Linked DNA regions of Styela clava. The protein of the gene in region 2 purifies or fractionates together with the protein of the main gene of each other region. This does not show direct contact. Links are inferred from orthologs where the notes say so. Each region holds a gene or a part of one and is shown on either strand. Other genes may lie near its edges. The genes, in order: ATP-dependent RNA helicase DHX8-like, uncharacterized protein LOC120331224, uncharacterized protein LOC120328439 and uncharacterized protein LOC120342705.

The links.
Region 1: the proteins of uncharacterized protein LOC120331224 (region 2) and ATP-dependent RNA helicase DHX8-like purify together in Homo sapiens (co-immunoprecipitation; 3 studies listed by BioGRID and IntAct, with this or other methods). This does not show direct contact. The link is inferred for Styela clava from reciprocal best matches to the Homo sapiens genes RNPS1 and DHX8.
Region 3: the proteins of uncharacterized protein LOC120331224 (region 2) and uncharacterized protein LOC120328439 purify together in Homo sapiens (co-immunoprecipitation; 7 studies listed by BioGRID and IntAct, counting the BioPlex papers as one, with this or other methods). This does not show direct contact. The link is inferred for Styela clava from reciprocal best matches to the Homo sapiens genes RNPS1 and SNRNP70.
Region 4: the proteins of uncharacterized protein LOC120331224 (region 2) and uncharacterized protein LOC120342705 purify together in Homo sapiens (co-immunoprecipitation; 3 studies listed by BioGRID and IntAct, with this or other methods). This does not show direct contact. The link is inferred for Styela clava from reciprocal best matches to the Homo sapiens genes RNPS1 and SFSWAP.

What each region holds. Positions count from the first base shown.
Region 1 is NC_135250.1:15,234,688-15,242,749, forward strand, and holds the start of ATP-dependent RNA helicase DHX8-like, read left to right. Parts: upstream 1-4,977; 5' UTR 4,978-5,076; intron 5,077-6,071; 5' UTR 6,072-6,106; coding exon 6,107-6,200; intron 6,201-6,737; coding exon 6,738-6,893; intron 6,894-7,381; coding exon 7,382-7,510; intron 7,511-8,062. Other genes in the region: uncharacterized protein LOC144425897, read left to right, coding at 1-389.
Region 2 is NC_135255.1:4,593,665-4,601,369, forward strand, and holds the start of uncharacterized protein LOC120331224, read right to left. Parts: upstream 3,070-7,705; 5' UTR 2,985-3,069; coding exon 2,899-2,984; intron 1-2,898. Other genes in the region: uncharacterized protein LOC120331194, read left to right, coding at 3,563-3,676, 5,699-5,797, 6,137-6,205, 6,621-6,691, 6,876-6,980, 7,172-7,332, 7,628-7,705. UniProt on the Homo sapiens protein: Part of pre- and post-splicing multiprotein mRNP complexes. Auxiliary component of the splicing-dependent multiprotein exon junction complex (EJC) deposited at splice junction on mRNAs.
Region 3 is NC_135256.1:9,929,258-9,937,411, forward strand, and holds the start of uncharacterized protein LOC120328439, read right to left. Parts: upstream 3,004-8,154; 5' UTR 2,918-3,003; coding exon 2,837-2,917; intron 2,620-2,836; coding exon 2,488-2,619; intron 784-2,487; coding exon 664-783; intron 589-663; coding exon 526-588; intron 1-525. UniProt on the Homo sapiens protein: Component of the spliceosomal U1 snRNP, which is essential for recognition of the pre-mRNA 5' splice-site and the subsequent assembly of the spliceosome. SNRNP70 binds to the loop I region of U1-snRNA.
Region 4 is NC_135252.1:3,297,353-3,305,121, forward strand, and holds the start of uncharacterized protein LOC120342705, read right to left. Parts: upstream 3,024-7,769; 5' UTR 3,005-3,023; exon of another isoform or gene 2,943-3,004; intron 2,710-2,942; 5' UTR 2,659-2,709; coding exon 2,584-2,658; intron 2,391-2,583; coding exon 2,191-2,390; exon of another isoform or gene 1,529-2,190; intron 1,188-1,528; coding exon 1,118-1,187; intron 478-1,117; coding exon 384-477; intron 1-383.

The DNA.
Region 1 (8,062 bases), on a different chromosome or scaffold from region 2:
TCGTCGACCGGAACTCAAAGCCGTATGAATGTTCAATTGACAACTTAAAAGTTGCACACCTACCAACTTCTGACCTATGGCATGCAGATATTGAGGATAGGAATCTTGGCGCCAAATCAAATGAACCACCGGCGAGCGATGTCACTGTTTCGCGCCCACGGACTTTCAATTTCAATATTTCAAATAATAATGATACGATATCCGATACAAGCACGAAACGATCAAATTGCGATGCAGAAATTCATTTTACAGATTCAGCACATCGACTGGGGCCGTCTCCGGAAATGTCAAATCAGCAACAATCAAATCGGCCGCGAAGGCTGAGAAAACTCCCACGCCATTTAAGCAAAGACTTTATTCTATCAGGCGAATTTCAGATGGATATCTGATGACCATATTTTACTACACAATATTTTGCTTTGTCATGCTTTGTATGAGTACGCAAGCCGTTGAGGGACCACTGAAATTATGTCACAAATCGTTACATGGACAGACTTACGACATACGCAAACTAGCTATTTGTAACCGACACAAACTTCACACAATGAAGAATTGTTCAGAAAACATCTACGAGACATCTGCCCTTCTTACAAATGTTGATACCAAGATTTGTAAACGTACAACGACCTACTGGCGAACCATTTCATGGCTGTTCTTCGTCAAGCGCAACCAAAAACACGTTCAAATACCTCAGCCAATGCGCACCCAATTCTGGTTTTTGCCGGAAAGGTGTGTTTACATTTGTTTGGAATGTTGAAGATACGAAAGCTTGTAGAGCTCGCAACTTTCCGAAATTCAACACTACCGAATTCTTGTTATATTACAATGCATCGGGCAATCTTACCGATTGGAAATACCGATCATTGCAAACCTTCGAAACTTGTTCTCAACTATAACGAAATCTTGCATTGAATCAAACGAAGTCTATTGTGCATACAATGGCTTAGTTTTAAACGTAAATGACAACTGCGAAGACATTGTCAGATTACGTCATAAAGGCGTGGCCGCTATTTGGCCTTATTTACGCTTTATTCGTTGTACCCCTGCTTTATTTCATCTATCGAAGCTTGCCAAACTGCCGAATGTCCGTTCGCCGTACATTAACAAATGGATTGCTGCAACCAATACGACTTCTCAGCATACCACGACAAACCGTAGTACAATTCAACGAACAACAAGAAATACACCAGTTATCCGATGTCGAAATTGACGATGAATCGATGGAAAATGCTAGCAACTTCTCAGGTGCGAGCACCCAAGCTCAAATGAGTCGAAAGTTTGACTGTAACAACCTTTTAATTTATCCCCACCCTATTAAGTCAACTCGATTCCGGAGGTCGTTGCGAGTTGTATATGGTGTGTATCTCGCAATGTGTCGCCTCGTTATTAATCATCTTGTATTTATTTTATCAATTTAATCGTTTTGTATTTTATTACTTTTCTCTTATTATTATTATCCACTATAAAACATCAAAACACCTTAGTATAAGAATTTAAATAAAAAAAAAAAAAAAAACATACAAATAAAATAATTGTGCAGTGTCAGTTTTCTTTTCTGTGTAATTACTTGTTATTAATCAATGCCTTGTTTTTTAGATATCACGAGTTCTTTTACTTCATATAGAATTTGATTCAGGTTCAATTTCAGGGATTCAATGGTTCAAGAATCTGTCAAATTACTCATTATTCAATTTACAGGATTTTTTCTTACTTATTATTTTATTTCAAATAACCTCTAACGCCAATTTTACAATCTTAAACACCAAACCAATTTCGGTGTAATTCTCAAGTACTAAATCCGCAATTTTTTTCTTCTCAGGCCCTTCCTTTAAACATCAAAGTGTTTTAGATTCTTTTAGGTCCTTTCTTTCTCAAGTATTGTCGCCATTTTGTTTACTATTTCGTTACAATTCCATTTTAAAATGTTAAGCATTTCTAAGCAACATAGAGAGAGACCCTTTGAATTTTTTTTCTCGTATTTTGTTTTCTCTCGTAAATGGCGTATATTCTCTTGTATACCTTAACCATTACTCATTATATCGTACTGATATCTTTTATTAATTCGTGTTATTTTGTTTTCTTTCACTTCATCTCTCGGCGGCCGGACTCAAATTTAAAAAAATTATCAAGTTAATTTTTTTTACTGTCGAGGGGGAATTGTGTAGCGAATGTGCATTGTGTAACTATGAATTATAATGTATTTAACCCTTTCATTTTAATAGTGTGTTCCATTCCCCACAATAGGTCATTTTATTGTAGCAACACTGATTACTGATTACATGTACTGCCTTTCTCGTATCGACCAATTTGATGACGTATCGTTCCGGCTTGCCGAGAGGGCTGCATAATATTGTGTTTAGATCCACTTCTGTTTTACTGCGTTAGGTGTGATGTGTTTAGATCCACTTCTGTTTTACTGCGTTAAGTGTGATGTGTTTTGATTCACTCTTGATTTACTGTGTTTAGAGTTAAGTGTGTCTCAATTTTATCTGTTTTCGGAATTTGGATTGTGCATCTTCCTATAATATACAATAACGATTAGCATCAACACTGTGTGCTTATTATCGTCTGAAGGAGTCCAGATTGGAGTCACATTCCATAACGCGTGTCAAAACAATAACGCGGGAATCGAACTTAAACATATAGGGTGATAGTCTATATCCCATCAACATCACATCTCTTTCTCCCTATAGTACTACAGTGCTAACATCGTGGTCATAACGGTGCAACAAAACCTAGAAGAACGCTAATTTGAAGCGGGAATGTTCGAGTTTTGTCAGGATTGCTCAAATACCCATTTCAATGACCAGAAAATCTTTCTAGTTGTATGCGCTAATAAAAATATTTCAGATACTACAGCCCACCGAACCTGATTTCACAAGCTTCAAGATATAACAATACCAGGATGTAGTTCATTTACCCAATTGAAATTCAAATATTACTGTATAATTCGAACAAATAAATTGTTTCAATTTAAACTTAAACATCTTAGCATTTTCATGCAGTGACAATTTTAAATGAGCTAACACATCATCAGTTTGGCCATGGTTATTTACATTAATTGAAACAGAGACAATGCATATGTAAAAGCTATGAATAAAAAAACGTTATTTAATGGAGTGAATAAATTTCCACAGTTTTTATGATTAACATGACACTGAAAGCACTTAATTCCCATGTAGCAATCAATATAAATGAGGCAAAATACCAAAAACTTACACAATTCACGGAAAATTTGAAAAAGTCAAAGTTGACTGAATATATTCAGTAATTATGAAAAAAACATGAAGACCGGCCAAATTTGGCAAACGGCAACCGGCTACAGGGGTGGTGACTCCGCTATGACCCATGGGCCGGGGCCACGGCTCATCTAATTGGGCCACATGGGCCGTGGCCCCATCAGGAAAAATTCAATCATCTTACCAAAATTTTCAAATTTTTACAAAATTGTAAATATTCGAACCAAAAAAAATCGTGGGATGCTACCAATTTTTTTTTCTTACGATAAGCATTTATATAAAAATAAAGCATAATACCAAACTACCAACAGTGATACTCCTGTAGTATGTGTACCAGGTTAGGGTTAGGACAAAATTTTGTTCAGATTTTTCACATTATAGTTCTATTATGAGTTCGAGGACTGTCTGTGTTAGCCAAGTGAATAGTCCCTTTACACAACTTGATGGGCCGCGGCCCATAGCCTGATGGGCCGAGGCCCAATTCGATGGGCTGTGGCCCCGGCCCATGGGCCTTAGATGAGTCACGACTCCCACTCGCAACCGGACGCTGCACACCACGAGTATCGCACTAATTAAGCAACTTTTGACCTACGCCAAAAGGCATCGTTGCCGTCGTTTTCTGAGAATCCCGCATCAGGCAAAGTACAAGTAAGTATAGGATAGGATAGGATTCACATATTTATCCCGGGGGAGAGGAAAGCCGATAAGACGGCTTAATCATATGGCGAATCACGGCCTCTCGTCCGGTTACCAGTCCAGGTCGGGCATGGGATTAGTTAGCCAGTTATTTGTTTTCGGAAGCATGGACTCGATGGTGGAGGAAGCCGTAGCCGACCAGCGGTTACGTGAACCACCCTACGGCGGCGAGGAGTCCAGCCATCCTCTCGCACATGATCATCCCCGCATGGGATTCGAACCTGCAATCTCACGAAGGGTAATCAGAGATGCGGTGGCGAGCGTATTCCTGACCCTTAGCACATGCGCCACTCAGCCGAGTAAGATTTAGGTAAGTTAACCGTACCTGAACTGTGCACCCCGATTTCCCACGAATAGAGGTTATAAAATTCAACCTTGTAAAGTTGTATATAACAATAATCTATAATTCTATATGACAAATTAAGAAAATTGAACACTGTTGCCAGGTTGCCGTATGGATTATCTGGAAATAACGTGCCTGATGCTGATGGAACTAGGGTGGTGTAGCCAATCTGCGGACGATTTCATTCAAACCGCTATAAAACAAAAACCAATATTTCTAACCCGTTAATTTTTTCACTGTAGGTGCATCGGCATTTATTCTACAAGCTAAACCTCGAATTAACTTTCTACGACCAGGGGTTAAAGCAATACAAACCACCAAAGTACGACACTCTGAAGACGTATTTGCGACCGAACGACCAGTGTGCGACCACGGCTTTCAAGCCTTGAACATCGTTTCTGCTGCATCGAGACTAGGGCATACGCAGCCATGCCCACTTTAAAGATGGTAAAAAGAAACACAACTCTATCCACCTGCCAAGTTTCATCTCTTTATCTCCTATATTTGTATGAATTTTCAAGCTTTTTAAAGGAACAATGGATAGTTGGCGACATGGGAAAACAGTCCGTTTTTTTTCTTCGGTCGGGTTTTCGGTCGTAACTTTTTTTGTTGTGGCCGCATTTTAGTGTAATTTCGCAGAGCTACGAGGGATAAGTGGACGATAACCACAGAGATATATAAATATATTTCCAGTTCAGTGACGATAACGCGTGAGAAATATCGTCGCGGCTCGTTAATTTTTTTGGCAGTAATAATCGATGAAGTGATGGTCGCAAATAGGTTGTGGCCGCAAAGTGGGTAAGCCACCGTACCCTGATGTTATTGATTTAAGTTTTTTATAGGCCCTATGTTTGTTTGCTTAAATTCATATTAATTATGTCTGTTTGTGTAACCAAAATTTTACCTTGTAGCTTATCAAATTTTTATTCGGTTTATCACAGTAGACCTATACAAATTCAGGTATAACAGTATAAGGATTTGATATTGCTGTACTGAAACCTCAACATGAAGATGCTTTTGTGACATTACACAAATAAAAATGATTTACTCTAGCGTTCCAGAATTACTCTCCAAGTTCATTCTTCCATTTTGTGAATATAATTTTAAATACTAGAATCAAGTTCATGCTTCCTAAAACAAATAACTAACTAATCCCATACGGTATCCGACGTGGAATGGTACCCGGACGTGAGGCCATGGTTTGCCATGTCAGCATGTGGTTAGGGGGGGGGGGGGGTAATAGACTTTCCTCTCCTTCCAGCTCTTTGGATAAATATGTAAATCCAGATGTTCTACCTCTTATTTAGTCATCTGAAATTGTGAATGTTAAACTCTGTAAACATAACAGCATGAAAGAGGGAGTTGACTTTGATGATCGTCTGGTCGTATTACTCCCTCCTGTCTACTATTACTAATTGATTGTTATTATTTTTATTAGTACGATGACTGTTATATTATTTTGGTTGACGAAAAAATAAAATCCCTCTTTCTCTGTCCCATTAGAAACTGAATAATGAAACCTCAATACAGCAATACGAAGATAACACTCGTGACACTGGCAGAAGGAAGGTCTATAAATCTGATACTTGTATAGAATCAGAGTTATATCGTGTACTTGACCAGACCGTTCTCTTTTTCCCTTCTTCTTTACATACCAGATGTACCTTAACTAAAGCATCTTGGCTGTATGGTTTTTTGCTTTACAGAACTGCAGAATTACGCCAAGAGCTGCTGACAAACTGCACTATGTAATACTAACTGTAGTAATTTTTGCTTGCATTTTGTAATTTCAGAATTTAGATAATTTTGGGACCATCTATGCAAAATTATGGATGACTTGGAAAAACTTGAATATCTTTCTCTTGTGTCGAAAGTTTGTACAGAATTAGACAACCATCTTGGAATGAACGATAAAGATTTAGGTATTGTAGTTCTTTTTACATTCTTATGTCCAATTTTCAGTAAGCATCGATTTTTTCGACACATTCTAACATAAGTTTATAAGTTCAGTAAACTTGGTGGCATCTCAGACATTTTTATTAACTGAACAACCTGACACATTAGCATGTTTCTGTGATGGTCCAGTTGTTGGTGTATAGCATAAGTTAGGTGTCTTCGTACAACAAAACCTTACCGAAGGTTAGAAAATAAAAAATCAGGCTTGTAAATTTTTTAATTTAAAAGTTTTTGGATATTTTGAATACTTGACAGTGTCGCTGACACTATGACTTTGGTGGCCTTTTGCGGCAATATTGTATGTCTGTTTATTTCAATTTTTATTTTTAATACTATTTCTGATTAATTTTGTTGTTACAATATATCTTGGACAACAAAATAAATATCTGAATTCATTAATATAAAGCTTACTTGCAAGCATTTTGGCTGATTGGGAGATTACAAGTTCATTGAATGCATAGTCAAAGAAACTGAAGTAAAATAGTTATAATATTTCTATTTAGCGGAATTTGTCATCAATCTCGCTGGAAAACATGTCACTGTCGAGTCATTCTCATCGGCATTAGCTAAAAATGGAGCAGAGTTTCCACATTCTTTTACAAGAAATCTTTTGTCTCTTATACATAGAATGAGGCCACCACAAAAGAAAAGAAAAAAGAGTATGTCCATCATTCATATATACTCTCGGTTTTTGGATGATTCCGTAATGTGGCGTCTAATAGACTGTTTATAGCTTGGGTTTGGTTATTATTGAGTAACTGTTCGATAATAACTGAATGTCAATAGTATGTGTTAAATGAATATTGTCCAAAATGGCAGAGACTAATTATTCAGCTGAAGAAATGATGACCAGGTCGTTGACAACTGTAGAAAATGTTACACATCTGAGCAGTTTTGTCAACATAATTTTTGTGATTCCTAGAATGTTGAAATATGTTGTTTCTGTTTGACATAAATTTGTAGATTTGTAGTTCTTTTTTCTGAATTGAGACCATAAAATCTTTAGGTTGTAGAATCCATGTCTCATGTTACTATGAAATAATTGCGTTTGTACACCAATTGTAGATTTTTTTCATTTGTTAATTTCATACATTTGAAACAATTCTTACTGGCATAATATTTGTAAACATTTATATTTTCCTTTCAGATAAAAAGTTAAAAAATGATTCAAAAAGCGATGGGAATGACAAAGGACCCGATTTTAACAGACATAAGACAATGTTTCCAGCATTATGCATTGCTGATGATAAAGATTATGTCAAGAATTTGTTATCAGGTATTGTATAGACTAGGCTATTCAAAGGTAGTTTATCTCAATTTAATAAAGATGCTAGCCAAACAAAACAGCACGGTAATATTTCAAAATTAAAACACAAATGAACGAAATACCATCATCGATCGAAGTCACTCCGAATGAAAATAGCAGTTGTGCCACCACTTGCAATCCTGACTTTCTTTTCACTTGTCTCACAGTAATATGGTTGATGAGTCGACTGCCAATGCCTAACATGCGTAGCGGTACACGGTGCATTTTTAATCATGGCAACAGTCTGCAGTCCATGCATTCTTCAGAATGGTCGCATACACGCATAACTCAGATCGCACCAAAAAATTGGCTCATTTGCGCATGACTTTGATCCCGTAACGAGATGATATCAACATCAGTAATGACACAATATTCAAAATCAGCTGATAAATAAATTATTCAAATCGCATTACCGAAGAATTGCCAACTGTAGCAACATCGAAAGAATGTAGCTTGTAAATATGTCACAAAAGGGCATTCTACGACGTTTGAAAATCCCTTAAATAGCAATTTTCGAATCTA
Region 2 (7,705 bases):
TGAAGATATGATTGAAAGAGAGAAAAATAAACTAATCGCATAGCTGATGGGGTGAGAAACTTTTTAAGTTTGAATAATATACCTGCTGTTCTAGCAAGCTTGCCAGCAATGTAGTTAATATGAGCTGCCCATTTTAACTGGTTATTAATGTGTATACCCAAGTATTTGTATGAGTTCACATTCTCAAGTAATATACCATTAATAGTAATTTTAATCAAATGCACACTTCTTTCATTTTTTTGGGGATTAATTAGAAGTGATTTGGATTTTTCAATATTTATAGTTAGTTTGTTACTAGTCATCCACGTTGCAATTTTTTGCATTTCAGAGTTCATGTGTATTTGCAAGTCATTTGGCGAGACTGAACTTCCAAATAACCCGGTATCGTCAGCGAAGAGTTTGACCAATAATCTGGTGGCATGAGGAAGATCGTTGACGAATAATACGAACATTAATGGGCCAATTATTGTGCCCTGGGGAATTCCGCATTGTACAGTTGCAAGTTCGGAGCAATTTGATCCTATTTTGACATATTGTTGACGTGAATATAAATAGCTCTGGAAGAATTTTGATGCATGACCGCGAATGCCATAGTGGCTCAGCTTTCTAACTAATATGTGATGGTCGACAGTGTCGAATGCCTTTTTTAGGTCGAGAAATATTGCACTGATATATTCCCTTTTCTCTAATTTATCATAAAAGTAAGTTACCACATCTAGTATTGCATGATTAGTAGAGTGCTTCTTTTGGAAACCAAACTGTGACTTATTAATAATGCTATTTCGATCTATAAATTGTGTTAGTCTGGTATGCAAAAGTTTTTCGAATTCGAATGTTATGGTCATAGTCGAAAGAACTGAAATGGGGCGATAGTTGGTTGCACATTCTTTGTCTCCAGCTTTGAACACTGGTGTGACTTTAGCAATTTTCAAACAATTGGGAAAAATACCATGGTCTAGGGAGGCATTAAACAACTTACACAGCATGGGAGACACTATATCAGCGGCGTATTTTAAAAATTTGGCAGGTATATTGTCATACCCCACTGCTTTGCCATCAGGAAGACTTGCTATGGTGGTAAATACTTCATTGATTGTCGTTGGTCTAAGAAACAAGGAATCTTTCACTGGATTCTTGAGATTATTCAAAAAAGAATCATTAGAATGGGGAATATTTTCAGACAGTTTCGGGCCTATGGTGGTGAAATAATTGTTAAGGTAATTGGCAATACAAATTGGATCACATACAGAGTGCGGTCGTCTGAGTGTTTCGGTTAGATTGGTGGGTTTTGAATGTCTGTGTGAATGCCTCTGGTCTTCAGGGATGTTTGTCTGTGTTGTGTGACTGTCGGATGTTTTGTGCTGGACAGTGGGCTGACGTAGGGACCATGTTATTGTTTTTACCAGTACAGTGCCATTACAGTTCATTTACCGTAGTGTTGTATTTTCAGTTTTATCGTGGAATTAGCTTTCATCAGTATTGTTCAAATGTTGTGCACCTATAGAATTGTTCATAGTCTTTTTAAATGCCTGTCATAAGTTACTTTCGGCCTGTTTTGCAAATTGCAGTAGCTAGTTTATTGTACCAGATTCTAGGGGTCATTTGGTTTTTATTCAGAGTTGTCTTGGATTTCAGGTTTTGTCAGTGCTTTTGTTGTGTATGTGGTCTTTCTTGCATTTTACTGCCTGGTACCGGTATCTGTTATTTTTATTTTATGCTTTTCGTTCCTTTGGGAGTGTTTGGTTGTTTTGGATCGTTTACTGTTCGAGTTGTTAATAAATGACATAAAATAGCATAAAGACTTGGACTATTGAGAGAAAACTTGACGTCAGATCATATTAGAAGATATTCTGAACCTGGATAATTATTTCATACATTGCCGGTACGCTACAAAAACAAAATAAATAAAACTGATTATAGAATCGGGAGAGCAAACAAAACCTAAAGTACAGAAATAATGTTTGAAACGTACAGATGGAAAGGTCTTGTTAAAAGAAGTACTACGTGTTCGCTCACCCAAAAGTATTGAAACTAATTCTGTAATTAGAGCATGCACACACACAAACCAGACAAACACACAATCACGGAGACATGATGAGATCAGAAGTAAAAAAAAGCCGAAACATAAAATCAATTACCGGTACTTGAAAAAGTGAAAATATAGAAACAAATAAAATAAAGTTTTGCCACCCCATATTAATAGTTTTACGAGGATTGCCAAATTGGATAATGGTAACGTACCGTATAGGTATATACTGTGTATGGAATCTCAATTATTTCTTGGACATTTTTCACAAACTTGATATCATTTCCCTATTTTGACTTTTATTCAAATCTTGGGTCTAGTATAGTTTAGTACCACAAGTACTTCCAGTTGGTGTATCAAAACGAATTTTGCATATGTTAATCCTAACCCTCACCTTACTATGCCATTCAAAAAATATGTCGATACGACGTCACAAACACGTCATAGGGCTATAGTAGAATTACGATCGCCTGAAATGGCATCTGCGCCGCCGATAACGAACTCGCTTACGCCGGCGAGACTAATAAACATACCAGTACATACATACATCGTGATCGTTATGACGTGAAAACGAAAGAAATAGCTTACTCGATTTCGGGTCATCATCTGCGCGTTTTGGACGACCATCCGCATACTGTACTTTGGTGGGCCTTATTACGCCAATGTGACGTCAAAATGACGTAATTTTTCGGTGACGTAGTCAGGTGGGGTTTAGGATTGGCATATGCAAAAATTGTTGAGCCAGGCCAACTAGAAGTGCATGTGGTACCAAACTATACCAGACCCCAAATCTTGCAGACTGGATGCAGATTTTTTGTAACATACCGGTACCGGTACCGTACCGTAGTCTGATAATAGTCTACCGCACTAACCTGGAAGATGATCTAGCCTTTTTTCGTCCTCCGTCGGTAGTGTCATTCGTTGCTTTTTCACGCCCTCGAGCTGGACTTGGTGCCATTATGCTATCAAAGTGTTTACAAACAAATATGCAAAACGTGCTCGCGCCGAATACTTGCTTCTGTGCTTCGTAAAGTGGTAAAGCTACAAGCTTGTAGCAATGCGACCTTTGTGTGCGGCGAAGCAGAAAGTTCAATCATCTTTGCACGAATTTAGGCTAATTTCATGGCAAGAGGAAAAAATAATTGATTCAATATTATCAAACAAAAAGCTAAATAAGTTAAATTACATCAAAACAGCAGATGACCACATTATAAAAGGAATGCCCTTTTACAACAATATAGAAGAGATGAATTGAACTTAAAATCTGAAAAGCCTGTCTTTTCCCCGAGAAAGACAATATTTCATTGTTTTCGCATACCAATGGAGTGTGTTACCTGAAGTTTTTCACTCAACTCAAACCTAAACCTTATAAAGCCTTTTGACATTCAGGATATGATTGATAAATATGTCACTGCTGATTGGCATAAACATCCCGTGTCCTATTGTGACGTAATAAGTATACGATTTTGGGGTAATTGTAACTTTTTGCTTAAGTCGACATTTTATTCGGTATTTTTGGCAGCATGCTTGCTTAATATGCCACTAAAACGAAACAAAGTGGGTATCGTTACCCAAGACAACGACGAAGGACACAGGGTGTCATGCGGGAGAAAGAGGCGAGGGCGAAGATTTAGAAAATCTTCCGCTGAAGTAAGTTAACTTATTTTTCGATCTAACTAAATGAATGTAGTCAAATAAGTTGGTAAGAAGTGATGAACTTGAAATTATATTCTGGCTCAAAGTAATGCCAAGTGTACATATGCCGCATTTGTGAAGCAGAGTTCGAGTGCAACACCAATAGGGGTGGGTTGGCACACCTACACCAATCACGAGAGATCTTTCCAAGATAGCGAGCAGTAGTCTGAATATTTATCAAATGCTCACGAGTCAAATCAGACCGGGAAACACTGATAAAGATAGTAATAAAGATACCCTAGATACGCCACTGTCTGATATGGCTATGTGTTAGGACGGATCAATGAGCATATATACAATGAGTGGAAACTTGCAAAGATTTGCTCATTATGGCATTGTTCCCTGCATGTTTTACGTCGTCCAGCTAAATGGTTCGTTGCATATGGAGAAAACTCATTGCTCGCTGCCAAAATCCCTCTCTCCAGTAAGCATAGGCTCATAGTTGTATGCTTTCAGCGTACCATACTTCGAAACCCAAAATCAAATATGTATTGAAGAATTAAAGACCTCAAGTCAAGGTAATACGGCCAAATTCGCACCCGACTCGGCTGAAGCAAGGAATTTTGGCAGCGAGCAACGCGTTTTCTTAATATGCAACGAACCATTTAGCTGGACGACGTAAAAATGCAGGGAACAATGCCATAATGAGCAAATCTTTGCAAGTTTCCACTCATTGTATATATGCTCATTGGACGGATTAGCAAGCAAATTTATATTTCAACTTTAAAACAGAATCAAGGCGGCCTATATAACAATCAAATGAATTGCTTACCATGTCTTAGTTGAGTTTTCCCAATAAAAATATTATTTACTATACAAAATTTGTGAAATTCAACAAAAAGAAATGGCTACAGATTCTTACAATTTTTGCTCTCCATGATCTTTCAAAAATTCTCAAAACTTTTCAAAGTTTGAACCCATCACGACGGATTAGAAATCCGCTGCTTTCTCTTCCTCGCGTGTGCAGATTTTGCTCTTTGAGTGTGGACTGAGCCTTAAACACGCTCGTTCATCAGCAATGGCGGTAATGAAAATCCAATGATATTAACATCGAAATAAACATAAAATTTTCGTGAACATCAGAATGTCTTCAAACTTATCGAACACTAACAAACCAGTAAGTTATATGTGAGCCGAACGCGAACGCTGGTGGCTCGGCATGATGAAGCAAAGTGTAGAAGCTGAAAAGAAGCGTAAGAACCCAGAGTTTGAACAACTTCAGTGAACAGATCACTTGACTGTGTCAACATCACTTTCATAATATTTATATATATCTTCTATCCGGAAAATCGCTGAAGTAAAGGTTTTATCAGTACTATAATCCTTTTTCAGAGTAGAATGCGTATAAAACGCATAAAAGAATTAGGCTCTAATGCCTCCGTGAATATTCGTCAATTAAAAGATCAATCTGATATTCCACAATTTTTTAATTGGCCGTTGTTCTCCATGGCCATACCAGCGATTTTCCTATACCTCCTGTAGAGGGTGAACAGTTTCACTGAAATTTCAAACACTGAAATTTTGCAGTCGTTACGCAAGGGATATCGTCCATCCCAATCGCATTTTCATTCTTTTATGTGCTACTATGAGTCTCAATCGAGAAGTATGTATCAAATACGCGTACTTGGAGTAGGACAGAATCACTGCTTCTATTTGGGCTTCTAGTAAATCCCATCCCGAATAGGAGCGACTACTAACTCGACTGGTAATACATATTTTGACTAGGTAATAACAGAAGTTAAGAGTAGGCTATGATAATTGTGTCGTTTCCGGGAGAAATTACGACTCTCGACTTCTGGTTTGATGTCACTACTCCACCCAATGACGGGAAACTTAACGGCCCCACGAAGTTTAAAATTCGGAGTTTTAAATCTAGTTCCCAGGCCCGTTTTACATATTCAATGATATCAAGAAAGCATTCTTGAATATTAACGTTCTCGCAACACATTATTCAATTTTGTTAAATTAATTTCTTAGAAACAAGATGAAGCTTCATCTTATTTGACTGCGGTGCATTGTATATATGCATTTGCTTCATGGTTCGGCAGAGGAATGGTGAAGGCTAACAAAGTCTTGGTGAGTCCGGAAGATATGTAATCAAAAGTATATATATATATATATATATATATATGTATGATTTATATATATATAAATGATTGTATAATCCAAATACTATCGGATATTTTTCTGATGTAAAAGCATGCAACATGATACTTTATATCAGTCACTTTTACCAACAGAACCGTGGTCACGATGAATTTGTAAGTAATAGAATACATATAATTGGAATGTATGTATAGGCCTATGATGTGTTCATGTATATGCTTGTGGGTGAATCCTTGATTTCGTATTACAATACCTATATATGACAAAGTACTCTCAGTTCAATTCATTCATGTTAAATACTTCTATCAGACATTCTCTCAATGCCGTAAATTGTCGACCGTGGACATCGTGGACGAGGATGCTCACAGGGCCGACAAGGTATTATGGTATATATATCGTCTTTTATTGGTTAGAATAACGCTCTGCGATATATGGAATCTGGTTTATTTTACGAAACACTTCAGAGTTAATTTTTCAAATCACTACATCGATATGCATTCTGAAAACCATCACCCCCTCTTCAAGCGACAGTGTTATGATGAATCAACATGGTCGTAATACCACAAATAAAATAACAATTTTTATGGCGTGGTGCATATCGCTTCCGAGTTCAAGCTTTCTATTCAAGTCCCAAGGTCTGATATGTTTATTCAACCACTATTCGTTAGACTGTTAATAATCAGTTTCAGTCTGAAATAGTCAACGTGCGATGCTATCGTGGTTTTGCTGGCATCCATCAATTCCAAATGCATGAATCCACGAATGAATGTTGTTTAATAATTAATGTACACAGATTCCAAATACTAAAAAGACTCAGAACGATACCGGGATTCAAGAAAATGGAAAGAATCATACCGGAATCGGGTAAACAATCGGCCCTAACAATCACTGACCTCTTTCAGAGAGAGAGCCTTGTTTTTCTATGATACATACAGTTTAGATAAAATGCAGCCTAACAGTTCAATTAGATTGCGATCTGTGCAAAAATATAAATATATTATTTCAGAAATTAAAATAATTTTTTTTTATATGAATGATTTTTGTGCAGAACATCTACGTCCGGGGACGAGCAGGTCCGTGAGAAATTTTCAGAAGAGGACAATGCTCTTTTCCCACCACCTGTAATACCCGATGTTGCATTGCCAACCTCGAGGTTAGAGTTTCGCCAAAATTAGCTAAACAGGCCATGATAGATTAGCAGATATCACAACTTTTTATCAATGGCCGAGAAAGAGTTATTGAGTTCGAGAGTGATTTTTGATATTTATTAATTACAAAATGGCATTTTGCTCATAATTAAAAAATAATTTTCTATAAACTATCAGGCTATTAATATTATTCCAGAAATACCAGTAGTGACGACGTCGGAAAACTCTCTACAACGAATGTTGGAGAATTGGCGTCTGCATTATCGACTTCTCACGGTGATTCAAAAACAGGAAATATGAAAAATGAGACTGACCACGGCAATGAGAATCCATTTGTTGCGCCCCCAGTTACTCCAAGTATTCTAATTTTTTCTGTTTTGTGATATATATATAATTTTCAATCTGTGAGAATTGATTTTATTGTAAGTCTACTATAATTGCCCACAGTTGAGCACGCGCTAAACTTTTTCTGTTCTGTCCCTTTTGGGGGCAGAATCGTGTTGTCAACTCCCATGTTTACGCTGTTATTATGTTTGTCATCGACACACAACTGCATATCTGAAATCTTCGTCTAATGATAATTTGCATGGGATGATTATGTATAGACCTAATACAATTATATATACGGTATGTATGTTTTCAATTATGTTAGATTCTAAGACTATGGGAGTGCAGCAAGTCACGCCGCCACCAAACTCTGTTCCATCCTTTACCACTGGAATATTACCGC
Region 3 (8,154 bases), on a different chromosome or scaffold from region 2:
TTATTTGTTTCAGATGCATGATTCTGATGTCAAAGGAAGCCAATAACTGACCAGGGTAATCAGGGGCCCTACTAAAAAGGTAGGTATCACAGGTATCAGTCACTAAAAAGGTAGGTATCAACTAGTAGTAGATGAATTAAAAAGTGAAAAGGTAGGTAGGTTTACAGGGAGGGTATCAGTAACCCTGACCCCACCTTTTTGGTCATTTACTACTGCTATCTACATTTTTAGTCACTGATACCTGTGATACCTATCTTTTTAGTAGCGTCCGTAATCAGAGGTGTGAGGAAGTATATTTCTAGCACTTAGCATAATGCAGCAATTGCCATATATATATCCCCCTATGACTCTATGTGCAAGCAAGAAAGTACACTCGCTAACTAAGATACTAAAAAGCAAAAATTGCAAATTAACTCCGTGACAGAAGCGAAAAATTTACGCTTCTATCAGATTTAATTCAATGCAGAAATTGAATTTGCAACAAAAATCCAATTTTTGGAATATAAAACTCATAAATTACTTTACCTTACGTATGGGGCCATACATATCAAACTCTCTTCTCAGCTTCGACTCAGAGGTATCATAATTCTGAAATAAAGGAAACAATATCGAGTTAAAATTGAAGACTAGAACATTGAAAAAAGGCTACAAATTGAGACTTACTACGCGTGACACAAATAATGTTTTGAAGGCATCTCCTGTTGCACTTTTATTATTGTGGGGATCGTAATTTTTAACTTCTTCTTCAATTTCTTTTGCACGTAGTATTGCTTTCTCTTTTATCTGTTTGAAATGAAAAAAATGGTAGAAAAGATGTTGAATGTTATTAATATGGATACTTTGCACTTCGCAATCAGGTACTGATTGAATCAATCCAGTAACGCATTTTGAGTCGTATCTTTCCAACATGAGTCATGTATATGTAGGGATAAAAATGCTTATAAACCTTAGTATAGAGCAGGGGTGGCCAACACGTAGACAGCGATCGACCAGTTGATCACCACGACTCGAGTAGTCAATCGCGTCTGATGTTGAGTGAATTTGATAACATACCCCAAAAAATTGTCTTGAATTAATTTCATGCAGCGCCAGTTGTGTGTTTAAAAACTGAAAGAATACAGTACTGTACATACGCAAAATACGATATACATATACAGTATTTGAGTCTGGGCAAGCCCGAGAGCATATTATTAAGCAACAAATGGAAGTTTCGCCATGCCATGGTTAAAAAAAGAAGGGCTGAATATTGAGTAAAGCTCGACCGATATCACTTTTTGGCACCGATAACGATATATCGGCCAACTGGTGACCGATAACCGATATGGACATACCGATATCTACAACCTGAACCCGCAGTAAATACAAATAGAAAGAAACATTCCGTTTCAGTCAATTAAAAGTATATGTTGAAAAATAAAGCAGTCCTACACAGTGCTTGCATCATTAATAAAAGTTTCACAGCAAATAAGACCACACATTAATGCACAACAGAGAAAAGGCAGTCAGTAAAAAGCTTATAGAAGTCCATTTTGATCCATACAGTAGTAGGTGGGAGTAGGCTTGCACGTCATTTACGGAATTGTTTCGAGTTACGGAAGGGAAGTTACAAATTACGTAAAGTCGTAATTATTGGTCGAGCGCTTTCGCGTTTGAAACGTGCTCCTTACAAGCAGTCAATTCCGTCGATTGTAAAAAATGAAAGTTTGGCGCGGCGGTGTGGCTCAACGGACTAAGCATTAGGAATACGCTCGCCACCGCACCCCTAACTACTCTGCGTGGGTTCGCAGGTTCGAATCCCATGCAGGGATGGTTATGTGCGAGAGGATTGCTGCCATTGAGTGTCTTGACTGAAACACGATCCTACAATACATTCTACAATCCTATTCTGCAGTATTCGAAAGTTATTGTATAACTACGAGAGAAGTGATAAATTTCATTAGCAATAATAGCAGTGGCATCAGAATACCCATTTTTTCCAATTCCAAGCGAGCGAAGAATCGCACTCAGAGGAAATTATAAAGTAGATACTGAAGTTCGAGCAGTCATATAACATCCAACATTATATCTGGATTATGTGATTTGAATAAACCCCAAATGATGAAACATTTACCTCGGGTACAATTAGATTATCAAATTAACAATTTTAATAATGGAACATGAAAAAAAAACTTTTGTGACGATTTCATTAGGATTGCGCCTACAAATCCAAGCTTATTAGCAGTGGGGAAATTTTTGTATGCTGTGTGTAGTTATCTGCATATTCAGCACCCATTCGTTTGTGTATGACCCTTTTTCCGATTAGTCAATCGTGAGCTATTTTGAAGATTCTAGTCGATCACGGTCGAAAGCAGGTTTGTCACCCCTGATATAGAGCAGTATATTGGTCGTGATAATTGAGTTAAACATAAAATTAAGACTATGAAAATGCTTGATTGCCAAACTTTCAAAACATCCGCTGAATGCTACAATCTTTAAATATCAAAGTACCCTTCTGGCTTTCTTCTCTGCTTTTGTCTCTCCCCTGGTTGGTGGAGGTGTGTCTTTGGGATCTTCAAATAGTGAGGTATATTGTGAAACACCACAGTATGGATTCTTTTCGCGATCTTTCTCCCATGATAGCTATAAAACAATGTGAAACATAAAATATATGTTAACCTCATACTTTTATAAAAATACTATAAAGGGTCCAGCATTACATGAGACATATTTTGAAGAACTAACAACAATTATAATATGAATAAATATATCAAAATTATGAAGTCAAATTCCTAGATTATCTGATTATAGAATCATTTTACAGTTTTATATGGTATATTTATAATCATTTCTCACTTACCTGAGCAGTTGGAGGTTTGTACGGAACTGGGTCTCGAGCAGCAAATAGAGCTAGCAAGTTGGGAGGCAGAAATTGTGTCATTATTCTTGTATAAATTCAAAATAATATTATTTAGTATTTTTATTATTTCAATTTTGAATTTGTACGATCATGCAGTCATGCATGCATAATATAAAGTCTATTACCGGTACCGTACCGGTACAGTAGGAAAAGCACATCATAAATACATGAAATAGGCTATAATGAAAAACGGATACCGGTACCGTACAGAACGATACAAAATTTAGATTGAATGCCGAAATAAATTGTATTGAACTGTACGGTAACTTTTGAATATCAGAATACTGGAATAGACTGAAAATAGAATTTTCCTAGGTCTACTAATAGACTAACGTTACTGGCTTTATAAACGTTATTACATAAAAACTTGGTGGCTCTGACAATAAAGAGACCATATCTGATATATAATCTACAACGCAAATGCAATACCGGTACCAAGCATGGCCTGACAAAAACGAGTGCGGGCTAGCGTCACACGAGTGTGTGGCTGGCGTTCTGACAGTGTTATACGGTAATTTGAGGCATCCTAAACGCTCACAGATTACTAAATTACCCATATCCACATTTTAATCAGCACCAGAACCTTCCAGAGTCTGCCAATTGATGGCACAAAATGGCCACAATTGCCGGGAAAATGAATCAAAATCAACTGAACAATAATATCTCTAATCAAAGTTGCCAGATATGACGGTAAGCAAGCCTGAAATTTTCCGTCAGACCTAAAAATTAGGAAAATTGAAATCTAAGCTAAGTGCTTGATCTTTTTATGAATAAAATGTAGTTATGAATAAACCATACCTGATTTGCACAAATACATCTTGTAAAATAAAAAAAATGATGATGATAAAAACATTACACCAGCAGATACACATTGTCTCGATGGCTTTTGATGTCGAAATTCGACAGTTCATCAAAAAGGATTCAACGAGTTGTTTATCACGGAATTAAATTATCATATTATACAGTATATGATCTTACAAATTTCAAAAAATTCTATCGTAGAGAAAGACTTTAAATTTAAAGTCAAAATTAGCACACTCGACCGATATCAATATTTCGCGGTAATGGTGTTTCAAGTCAAATTTCAAATATAAATTGAAATTGATCCTAAAGTTTGTTCCTCAAAAAATAAATAATCATATTACATGGTACTTTTTTAAAAATTATCAAAAAATAAAAAAAATTCTACCGTCGGGAACGATTTTAAAATAAAACCCGAAATTGGATCTCTCGAATGATATCAATATTTCCCGACAACGGTGTTTTATGTCGAAATCCAACACCTAATTGAAAATATTCTAACAATTTGTTCACCATAAAATTAATATATTATAATTTATAGTAAATTATCTTACGAATATCAAAAAAAAAAAATTCTACCGCAGGGAAAAACTTTAAAATGAAACCGGAATCTACCCATGTCTAATGATATAACATCTAATGATATACATATTTCCACGACAACGGTTGTTTGTGTCGAAATACAACATTCTATTGGAAATATTCTAATGATTTGTTCACCATAAAATTAATATATCATAATATATAGTAAATTATCTTACAAATACCAAAATATAAAAAAAAATTCTACCGTAGGGAAAAACTTCAAAATAAAACCGGAATGTACCTATGTCCAACGATATCCATATTTCCCGACAGCAATGTTTTATGTCGAAATGCAACACTTAATTGAAAATATTATAAGAATTTGTTCACCATAAAATCGATGCATTATAATATATAGTAATTTACCTTACAAATATCAAAAAAAAATAAAATTCTACCGTAGGGAAAGACTTTAAAATAAAACCGGAATCTACCTATGTCCAACGATATCCATATTTCCCGACAACGGTGTTTTGTGTTGAAATACAACACTCAATTGGAAATATTTTGTTTTATTCTACATAAACTTGGGAATCTCTGTTCTCAGCTATGAACTTTATTTAGTCTCGTAACAGAAGTAGCCTAAAACATGAAACCGGTATGTCATGTATGTTTTTGAAAGTTACAAAATTTAAACCCAATGTCCAATCTCTATCAGCGTTAATGTAGCAGTAGAAGTCTCATATACTGATATATATAGAATAAGAAAAGTAATCACATATATTCGTCGGACTGATTTTTTTCGAATAGTGAATCTGCCTGTGCATGTTTAAGCAAAGCATTGTTTTTAATTTTTGTCGGCACGCAAAAAAATTTCTAAAAATATTTAGCCGATTTTATCACGCAAGCCGAAAAAGGTACCCACCCCTGTGTTATACCTTGCACAAAATTCACTCCCCCTACGAGGTTCTGGTTCAACCTGGCAGAACTTTGGGGTTTGACGAAATTCCCTGAGTAATAAAAAGGATTCTCTGATGGCTCGAAAAGGTTACGAATCACTGATTTGAAAGTTGGTTCAATATGGGCTTCCAAAACTTTTGCAGTTCGATGCAAGCCCAGCGCTTCTATGATTTTATGCAATGTTTAGTGGAATTTATACGTTTCATTAGTTTTAATAGTTGTGTTTTGAATCAAAAGTATAAAATTTACATTAGATATTCCGGTAGTACTCTGTGTGTAAAATTCGAGTATTCTGTGCAACCCCAAAACTTGCTGCGTCTCACCTGCGGTGTCGCAACTCCAGTTTGGGCTAGCTCTGCGCTAAATCGAGTCTTTATCAATTGTTACCATCGGTCTGAAAAATTAAACAGGATTTTCACATGTAACTCAATTGTATGGCTATGTATGTTATGTCTCCAACATTTGGTTTGGATGGAGAAATTAGTGTAAATTGGGCATTCAAACTGTCACAACAAGTAATATTAAGCAAATACCAAATGTCATCTGCATTGTTTATGTTTTGTGATCACGTGTCACAAGCGTGATCCGCTCGCAGCGATCCAGGGTTGTTAGATACTGAAATAACGGGACTAATTAAAAACTTTTAATTACAAAGGACTAATTAGCGTTTTCGTCCACTCTTCGCGCGGGAAGCACAAGCGACAACGCCTCAGTAGCAAAGTTACATGATGAAGCGCGGTCGATTTTGTGTGTGGTTGGTGCTGGAATATTACTCCTTATCAGTTTGTCTCTTTGGAACAATATTCAGGTAAGCTAAATATAAACAAGCGTTTGTAAAGCTGTTATATGGTTTCCCTAAAACTCTATATTTTTTTATTTATTTGGTTAATGTTGTTGCTTACTATCTTAATTTTTGTACATATTGCTTTTCACAAACATGATTTCTAAATCTTTCTGGTTGAAATTACAATTTCCTATAATTTTCAATATGAACTAAAAATCTAAACATACCTGAGACTTATTCTAAATTGACGAGTTAGCGAAAGATACGAAGTTAATGGAATAGCTCTGCTGTTTCATTCATCAGATATTCGATATTTTCTCAGGAGTCCTCGCATATTATATATATCCTAGAATTCAGTGATTCTCGCACTTTTTTAGGCCGCGCCCGATATAAGTCACTACGTAAGCTGCATTTCACATGGCACGCTTTACATCAATGAAATATAGATAACTTTCGAAACCTCAAATTTAACTCCAAATTCATAGATTGATAAATACTTGGCTTTTTTACTTTTATATTTTAGTTATTGTGGTTAGACGTATTCCCATTCCCGCATTAGAAAGTTCTGCAACAGTGTATTATTAATATCTTAACTTTTCAGATGCAGAATTGTTGTTGATGTTGAAATTGAAGATGCTAAGACACGATGTAACGAAACCGAGGGAAAATCTACAGGTAATATTTATACATTTTATTTGACTTTTCGACATCCATGGATTCATGTAATCAATATGGTAATGCCACATACTTAACAGAAGTAATAAGTCATATACAAGATGAGATGCAACACAATGTACCGACAGATCATTCCAAATAAGTAATATTTCATAAATTTAGGGGAAATCTCTGAATTATTTGAAAGGATTTATCTACGCAAAAGTTTTAAAATGCGCTCCTTGATGGTTGAATCACAATTTCGAAAGGCTGTTGTTGAATTGAAATACTTGTACGTTATTATTTTGGGTGAAAATACGACGATCATGTCACATACATTTATTTTCAGCTTTCAGTTGACAAGGCAGTATACTACGTCATCAATAAGAGAAATTCGTCTGAGTGAGATAGAAGCCTATCGAGTCTGACCAGCAAAGCAAGTATGTAATCGGAATCTTTTAATTTTAATCGTATAATTAGGTTCAATCTAAGGATCGTTGGAGGTTGAACAAATCCCCCGGTCAAAAACAAAACACTCACACAAACCCTCAAAATAAGGAAATTATTAACTACTGGCTTGAGGTTTGGGCCGAAAATGAAGATTGCGCTGGAAATTCAAATTTTAAAATCGTTTCTGACCCTAACTAGTTACTGATTTGTTATTTTCAAACTTGGCGGAGGTGTTTTTATCAAATCTCACATTTTGGGGTACTCCTGAAGTACACGTACCATGGAGGACACCGGAACGCAGTATGTGTACCAGGTTAGGGTTAGACTATGATGTTAATGCAATTTTCCTTATTTTAGTTCTTTTGGGAGTTCGGGGACTAGCCATGTGACTCCCGTAGTATTTGTACCTAAAATTATGGCCTAACCCTAACCTGGTACACATACTATGTTATGGTGTCCGACATCTTGGTACGCATACTTCAGGAGCGCCTATTTTTGCATTATTGTTGAGTGCTTTTTACAAAATATTCCAATCTAATATGCTAAAATAGCGCTGTTCGACCTTTTACTACATGTTACACCTTGTTCAATTTTTTATTTTCATCGTATATACTTCGCAAATAACCAAGATTATTTAATAAAATAGCGCAGAAAAGTTGTTTGGTGAAGTTATGATAGAAGTCTTACGCTGGTCACAAAATATTATATGTGCTAAATAAAAAAGGGAAATATTGGCTTTGATTTGTAACTATAGCTTTTACTCGGAAATTTCGAGACGTGGACAGACAAATACTTCATAAATTATTGAGCCCGATGTTGAACGGGACCTGCGCGCGTTCAAAAACTCAAAACGGGCCGGGAAATTTGATTGTTTGAATCAGGCTATAGCTCTAGTGTATCATCGTATGCCAATTGCTATTTGTATAGCCGGGATCTATCTTGGTATACTCCTGCTTATTTATGGTATATCCGGTTGAATATAACTGCACTGAAAAATTTACTCCAAGTTGGTAATTTTTTTGGAAATCTTCGACAAATTATCTTTTTTGTATATATATTTAGTATAAGCTTATCTTATAGCAGA
Region 4 (7,769 bases), on a different chromosome or scaffold from region 2:
TTTACTTCATTTAATACATCTGTGAGAGACAAAACTATAGCGTATATGGTATCGATAATTTCCCTTTACAATTTCAAAAATTTGAAGACTTTATGGACACCCTATATATACATCATATAAAGATAACTTAACTATGATGGTTAAAATCATGGGTTCAAAACGAGAAAGATTCTCTAGCAGTGGCTGTTTGTGCAAAACCTTGCGCATACAAAATAAATTTGAATAAAAAAATCTAGATCTAGATGGCGTAAATTTGAAACATCAAGTCAAATGGCTTTATGAGCTTGAACAAGATTTGTTTTATCAAAAATTTGTGATAGAGTGAGATTAAACAAACTGCTAAAATGGATTTCATCATAAAAACATTTAATCGAGCATTTTACCATGTCTGATCTTCTCTTCTGCAATATCAGTATATAATGCCATGTATCTCTCTTGATCACACAGTTGTTCAATCCTTGCATCCTCCTCAGATTTCTGAACATGATACAAACAAAATGAACAACCATATTTACACCATCACCAATATCAAGTATGGTTTAACTGGGTTAGAACAATAGAATACAAATACCAGTGCCAAGCAAGCTACAGACTGCAAACATACTCCAAAAAAATGTATTACACTAATACCACTAATTCCGATCTAGCATGGTGACTAGAATATAGAGTACATGAAAGTAAATTGTAAAAAAAAAATCATCTAACTAGGTATATAGGAAAAACAAAACAAGAATTTACACATTGTGTAGGTGTAGTAGTTAAAGTGAGGTCAGTGATACATAGTACATAATATAGTTACTTGTCATGAGATACTTGATATATATTCGTACTGAAGCATAGTTAATATATATAGTATGTAAGTTTGATGCCAACAATCACTTATCTCAAGTTGAAAGAAGAACTAAATAAAAGAGCAGTAGCAAGCAACACCAAAGCTACATGAAAAGTTTCGAAATAATAATGTATCTAATTGAACCAGCTAATTATCATAGATCTGAAACTTGGGATAAATTAAATAAGACAATTAAAAATGAAATTCAATCTAGACTCTATAATATTTGTTATCATATATAAGCACTCCTAAAAAAATAGTTGGAAACAACAGAAGATTACATACTTCATAATGAATATTCCAAGAATCTACATCAAATTCTGAAAGATCATGCAATGATGCTCTTCCGTCATATCTTTTTCACATCAACATAAAACAAAAAAATAAAAAAAATTTAATACAAGAACAGAGTTTGGCAATATTATGAAAATAAAACAATAGCAAAACGTATTTTTACAATAAATTATGACATTGCTTCAATAGATAATGAAATCAGGTTTCCAGCAATCTGCCGTTAACGTACCTACCTTCACATCGAAATTAAATGCTTTGTTTTATATTTTCTAATGGATGATTAGTGTATTACTATTTGGCCAAATTATTCTTCAATGTATTAAGATTGAGTCCGGCAATTTACAATTTTTTGGTGAATTAGAAAAAATCTTAAAGTGAAACACATAAGACGCCTGCAGACACCTATTCGTTCATAAATTTCCTGTACTTCACTCGATGACAAATTTATATCTTTTATTCGTTGTCTCATTCGATATTCTGACTCTGAGATAAAAACAGAAACTTGGAAAAGTTAAGTAAATGACACAATACAAATGCATTAGTAAGAACATTAATTACTACTAATTTCTCGATAGTAGCTTCAAAAATTCTTCTTATTTGATCTTGAGATGTCACTCACCGGTACATATGCTGCTTCCTTGTATAGTTTTATTAAATTTAACTAATCGATAACTTATTCGGATTGTAGAATTCATTACAATACATGCTTAAATGTGCTCACTGAAATCAAAATTTAGTAGCTTCCAAACCAGTTTAGTTTCATATAATACCCTAGATTTGTCAGCAGTAGAAACCAAATAAATCTAACACCTCAAAAAAAATTTGCAGTTCAGGAAACATCCAAACAATTTGTAATCATCAATCCAAATTTTTTTCAGTAAATTTTTATTCTACAGATTCTTCGATTAAAAAAACATAAGTAGTTTATTTGAAGAGTGAATTCTTATTTGAAATTTTATTTTTTCCCCTAAGGCAGTAAGGCGAATAGACTACACAATAAGCTTGTCAATATGATGGCATGTCAGCATCAACCAGCATAAAAAACTGGAATAGTCTGCAGTCACCTGTCAATCATCAGCTGTAAGTTTTCATCTCCGTTCCAAGGGATGAGATGATTCAGCCGAGCAATATTTTTAGCATGATCGTCAGGTGGGAATATTTTGCAAGCGTATCCAAAGACTAACAATTCTTCATTGTCATCTTCTTCTTCTTTTTGAATATATGGTTTTCGAATATGGTAACTAGGTTGAGGTCTTGATGTTTTCTAAAAATAAATATTGGATTATGCCAAAGAATTACAGAATTAACGAACTCTTATTTTCTTTATTTGTGTTAGAAAGGATAATACCGGTATGTTCAGTCTTTAACAGTTTAATGCAGCAATAGACTAGTTGAATGAAACCAAACTTATACAGCAACTAATAGCAGAATAGATTATATCAACAAATCTAGCTCACCTTGAGTGCTGATCTAAGAATGCCCCGTTGAGGTTGCTTTCCAGGGAGCCCAGTTCTCTGTGAATCCCAAAACATAGCAACTCAATAGTTTATGTCCAGACTCAAGACGCAGACTGAATGAAGGCACTGCAACCATAATGAAAACATGCTTTAGAACATAACATATCAAACAGACAGAAAGATGCGGTACAGCGTTGCGGTACGGGTACCGGGTACTGCCAGACCAGCAGACAGTAGCAATAATTTCGAATTTTATTTCAACATTTATAGGGCCACCCCCAACTCTTTTTTTGTTAAATTTTATTCCATAGACAATTTTTTCGATTATAAATTTCGTATTTCAAATTAAATCAACTCCCCTAACTCTGCCACCATCGATACTGCTACTAGACAACAACACTGGAAAGATTGAAGGAAGTACCAGATGCAGGTGCGCCACCGCAACGCCAGCAAAATTCCAGCCAAATGTTTAAAAATTGTACCGAATGTCATTTACACACAATCTTGTAATAAATTTTGCAAAAATTGATTTTTTTTCACCATACAATCGAATTACTTTAAATTTTCTGGGGTTGGAGGGAAAAAATAGAATATACCATTGGGTAGAGCAGTGTTTCGTAACCTTTGTGGGCCTGCCGAGCCCCTGTGTTATTACGCAAGTCCAAATTTTTGAACCAAGAGCGCAACTTGAACTTATTAAGAGTAAGCTGATTTTGTACAAATTTATAGAAAATTTGCCCGTCTTCAATTGATAGAATATGAATTCGCAGCCTTACTGTTGAGCATAGGTTATTTTTTCGGCTTAAATTTGAAGGACTTGCATTGTCAAGAGAGTATCAACTACCAAAAGAACCCCCGGTTGCGCCATTAGTTGTAGCATAATATATTGCAACAAATAGTAAATTTATTCATTCATTAGATTTATTAGTGACACTTCTGCTGCTTATTCGATGACGAAGAGATACGTGGCTTCGTTTCAGACTGAACAACCCTCATATCATTTCGCATTGGAGTCGCGTTTAGTTGAGAAAGTAAAGCCATGCTGTTCAGTGTACAATGTACATAGTCAACAGACCAAGTTCGTTTTTTGGATGGCATATTTCACGAAAAACACTTCTCGGAATTACCTGATGATTTCAGAATCGAATCGAATATTTTTTCGAATGGGATCAATGGGAGATATGTAATTTATAATTATAACCTAATTAAAAAACATTTTTCCAAAGGGTATTCAAAAGTGTAAATTATTTGCTTTTGACGGAAATTGGACATTCCACTTATTTTGTTTTATTGAACACGGTGAACATTCCATAATTGAAAAAAATACCCTTTCGTTTTTTTGATTACTCAAAACCCGTATTTGATGCTAATCAAAGATAAACTTGACAGGCACTAATTTAAAATCGAAGACCACAAATTATGACGTTTTTATCTGTTTCAACTTTGAGAAAGATCGTTCGCAACTAGCAATTGAGTAGCCGATTGGTTATAATAAACAATATGCAATGCACAAAGTTGGAAAAACATGCCAAGCTCAACCAATGAAGCAAGAACATTTGCACCCTTACATTTCCACCCATAGATGTTATCATCCGCATATAGATTGCACCCGCGGACATCAGCACCCATGCACATTTGCACCCACGAACATTTGCACTCAGTACATGTGCAACCGCGGGCATTTGCACCCACGAACTTTGGCAACCATGGACATTTGCACCAGTGATTTCCCTACACTCCCCCTATAGGGGGTGAACACCCCCCCTAAAATTTCAAACAACCCCCCTAATTTTGAGGTGAGATTCCACACTGCAATTCCTAACTCAAGTATAATTGTATTCAAATATAACGCCTATGGCATATTCATCAGTGTAGATGAGGGGTTCCAAACCGCAGTCTGCGGGCCAATTACGGCTCGCGTGACGATTTAAAATGGCCCGCCGAACTTGAGTGAAATAGTTTAACCCTTCATGTGGTACCTTTTGGGTTTTAGATACCGTCTATTGTTACATCATTATTACAGTTTAAGGACGTTTATTTCGTAACAATTGAATTATATCGGTATCTTATGTATACGTATGGGTATTAGGATTACACACTGCAGTATTTTAGATATCAGCCGTATATTAGGAAAGCTTAATAATGTCACAAAACGAAAACTAGGCACCGAAAACAGACGTTTTTTAGATGAATGACAGCGTTTTTATTTTTTTATTGAAAACAATCAAATTTCAGCGATTTGTCTTCTTACCAACAAAATATTTCAGTTCTGAAGGAATACAACATTATGCGCCATTATGATCAGTTGACGCGCGTATTTCAAAATTTAATTCATTGCATAATTCATACAAAAGTCAAACAAACATGTTCAAAAAAATGTGAAATGTGTAACAAAACAAGCCATAAGTAGCCGTTCATACAATGCCAGATGAGCTAGTAACTTCTTTAGTCACTATCAGTTGCAAATTACTTGTTAAAACCTAGTAGTATATAGTTACGGTTGAAAGCCTTGTTTTATTATCTATTTCCCGGGAGTTCTATCAGCTAAATATTATAATTATTGATTTCATTACATAACAAACTGCGATGCTAGGTGTATCTAAAATCAAGCTTAGAGCCTATTTCTCAAAATTTTCCCAACGCGCCCAGCCGTGCCGTCCCGCACTTTTCCTCGCTGCCCTTTTCTGGCCCTACAGTTTTATTCTGCTGTGGATTTTGGCTCGCCGTCAATCAACTTGGGGGGCCCCTCTTGTACATCGTTTCTTAAATACATACCATTTTTTTAAGAATACAAATAGCCTAGTTTTATCTCAAATAGCAAATTATTTACCACCCCCTAAATTTCGAACACCCCCCCTAAATGGAAAAGCTGGGGAACATACTGATTTGCACCCATGTACATTTGACCCCCGCGGACATTTGCACCCTGGGCATTATCTTTGCACCCACGTATATTTGAACCCAGGACAATTTCATCTGTATACTTTTGCACCAATGAACAATTGCATCCGCAGATTTTAGCACCTGCATACAGATCGCACCCATGGACATTTGCACCCACGTACGTTTGAACCCACGTACATTTGCACCCACAGACATTTGAAACCATGAACATTTGTACCTATGTACTTTTGCACTCACGGACATTTGAACCCGCGGATATTTGCACCAACGTACATTTACACTCACAGACACTTGCTTTCATGGACATTTTGAGTTTGCTTTCATTACAAAATAAAACATTAGGGTGTCCCTAATTCGGTACAAATGGCAATAGAACCTCTCTACTTCAAAGACTGATATCAAGGGTGTAAATGTTTACGGGTCCAAAATTCCATGAGTGCAAGTGTCCATAGATGCAAATATCCATGGGTGCAAATGTTCATGAGAGCAAGTGTACGCGGGTTCAATTGTACATTGGTGCAAATGTTAATGACTGTAAATGTACGCGGGTTCAATTGTACATTGGTGCAAATGTTCATGACTGTAAATGTACGCGGGTTCAATTGTACATTGGGGCAAATGTACGCGGGTGCAAATGTCCGTGGGTGCAAATGTCTGTGGGTTTAAATGTCCGTGGGTGCAAAAGTACATAGGTGCAAATGTCCGTGGGTGCAAATGTCTGTAGGTTTATATGTTCGTGGGTGCAAAAGTACAAAGGTGAAAATGTCAGTGGGTGCAAAAGTCTGTGGGTTTAAATGCCTATGGGTGCAAATGTACGTGGATTCAAACGTACGCGGGTGCAAATGTGCACTGGTGCAAATTTCTGCAGGTGCAAATGTCCGTGAGTGCAAAAGTACATAGGTACAAATGTTCATGGTTTCAAATGTCTGTGGGTGCAAATGTACGTGGGTTCAAACGTACGTGGATGCAAATGTCCATGGGTGCGATCTGTATGCAGGTGCTAAAATCTGCGGATGCAATTGTTCATTGGTGCAAAAGTATAAAGATGAAATTGTCCTGGGTTCAAATATACGTGGGTGCAAAGATAATGGAACCCAATGATTATACTGGCTTCTCATCTTGTTTAATAGCGGTAATCAAAAATTAGTCCAAAAACAGCTGTAATAGACACGGCTAAACTTTTCTACCGGTACTTTCAATAACAGGGTTGGATATTTTGAATTGAAATGATTGTTTGATGGTAGGAGAAACATCCATTGTTGACTCACCATCACCTCAGTCAGTCACACAAGACTAAACACATAATGTCAGCTATTATTTAAATGAAAATAAATCGAGAAAAACATGTGTAATAACGCGAACTCCACACTTTCGTTCTGCTGTCCCCCACAACGTGCTACCCAAGGCGGCTGCCCCTTCCGCCCCCTGTAGATACGCAACTGTTGTCGAGAATGGAAGTTACAGAATTAATTTTCAATTAAAATTAGATATAATGTAACTAGTATATCTATAATGACTCTTTAGATACGCATGTCACCAAAGTGGTTTTATGCTTATCTCCAAATTTGAATCAGTAATCAGTAATTTATTTTTTCACCATTCTAAAGCACACAATGTGAATACACAATACAAGAAATAGGAAATATGGTACTTTAGGGCGAAGGGAGGCGCGAGACACCAAGACTGGTGATCGAGCAGCGACACCCATGACAAGTCTAACAGTAATAGATAAATAACAGTAATATATAAATCAAACAAACAATAAATATTAGAACAGGTTTACGTTAAAGTAAGTCGAGGCGACCTGCATACCCAAAAGACACCCGATCCAAGGAGAAACGGATAACGACTCCGAGCACCGTCTTGTTAGTAACCATGGCAACGTCAGCGAAATCTTATACTGCGGAATACAGACACTGCCTGAGTTGAGCTTGAATTCATATTTATCCCGCGAGGGGAAGCCGATAACTTGGCATATTTATATTATTATAAAATAGTTTTGTTTGTCGCAGTTAGGGATACGAGAGTGTGTAAACAAGTGGAAGTATAGTGGTAAGGTGCTTTGGTGCCGGAGACGTCGTGTGAAGAGGGAAGAGCCTAAGGACCCAACCTGACGGTTAAAGGTAAAAAATAATAAAATTTAATTGGCGATTGAAAATAATCGACAAAATAAATAAATGTGGAAGTAAATAGTATTGCTAGTTAGACAAAATATGTACATAAAGAAACTAGTATATTAGAAAATTTTAGTCCATCATTGAAAACATGAATGCAGTAAACAC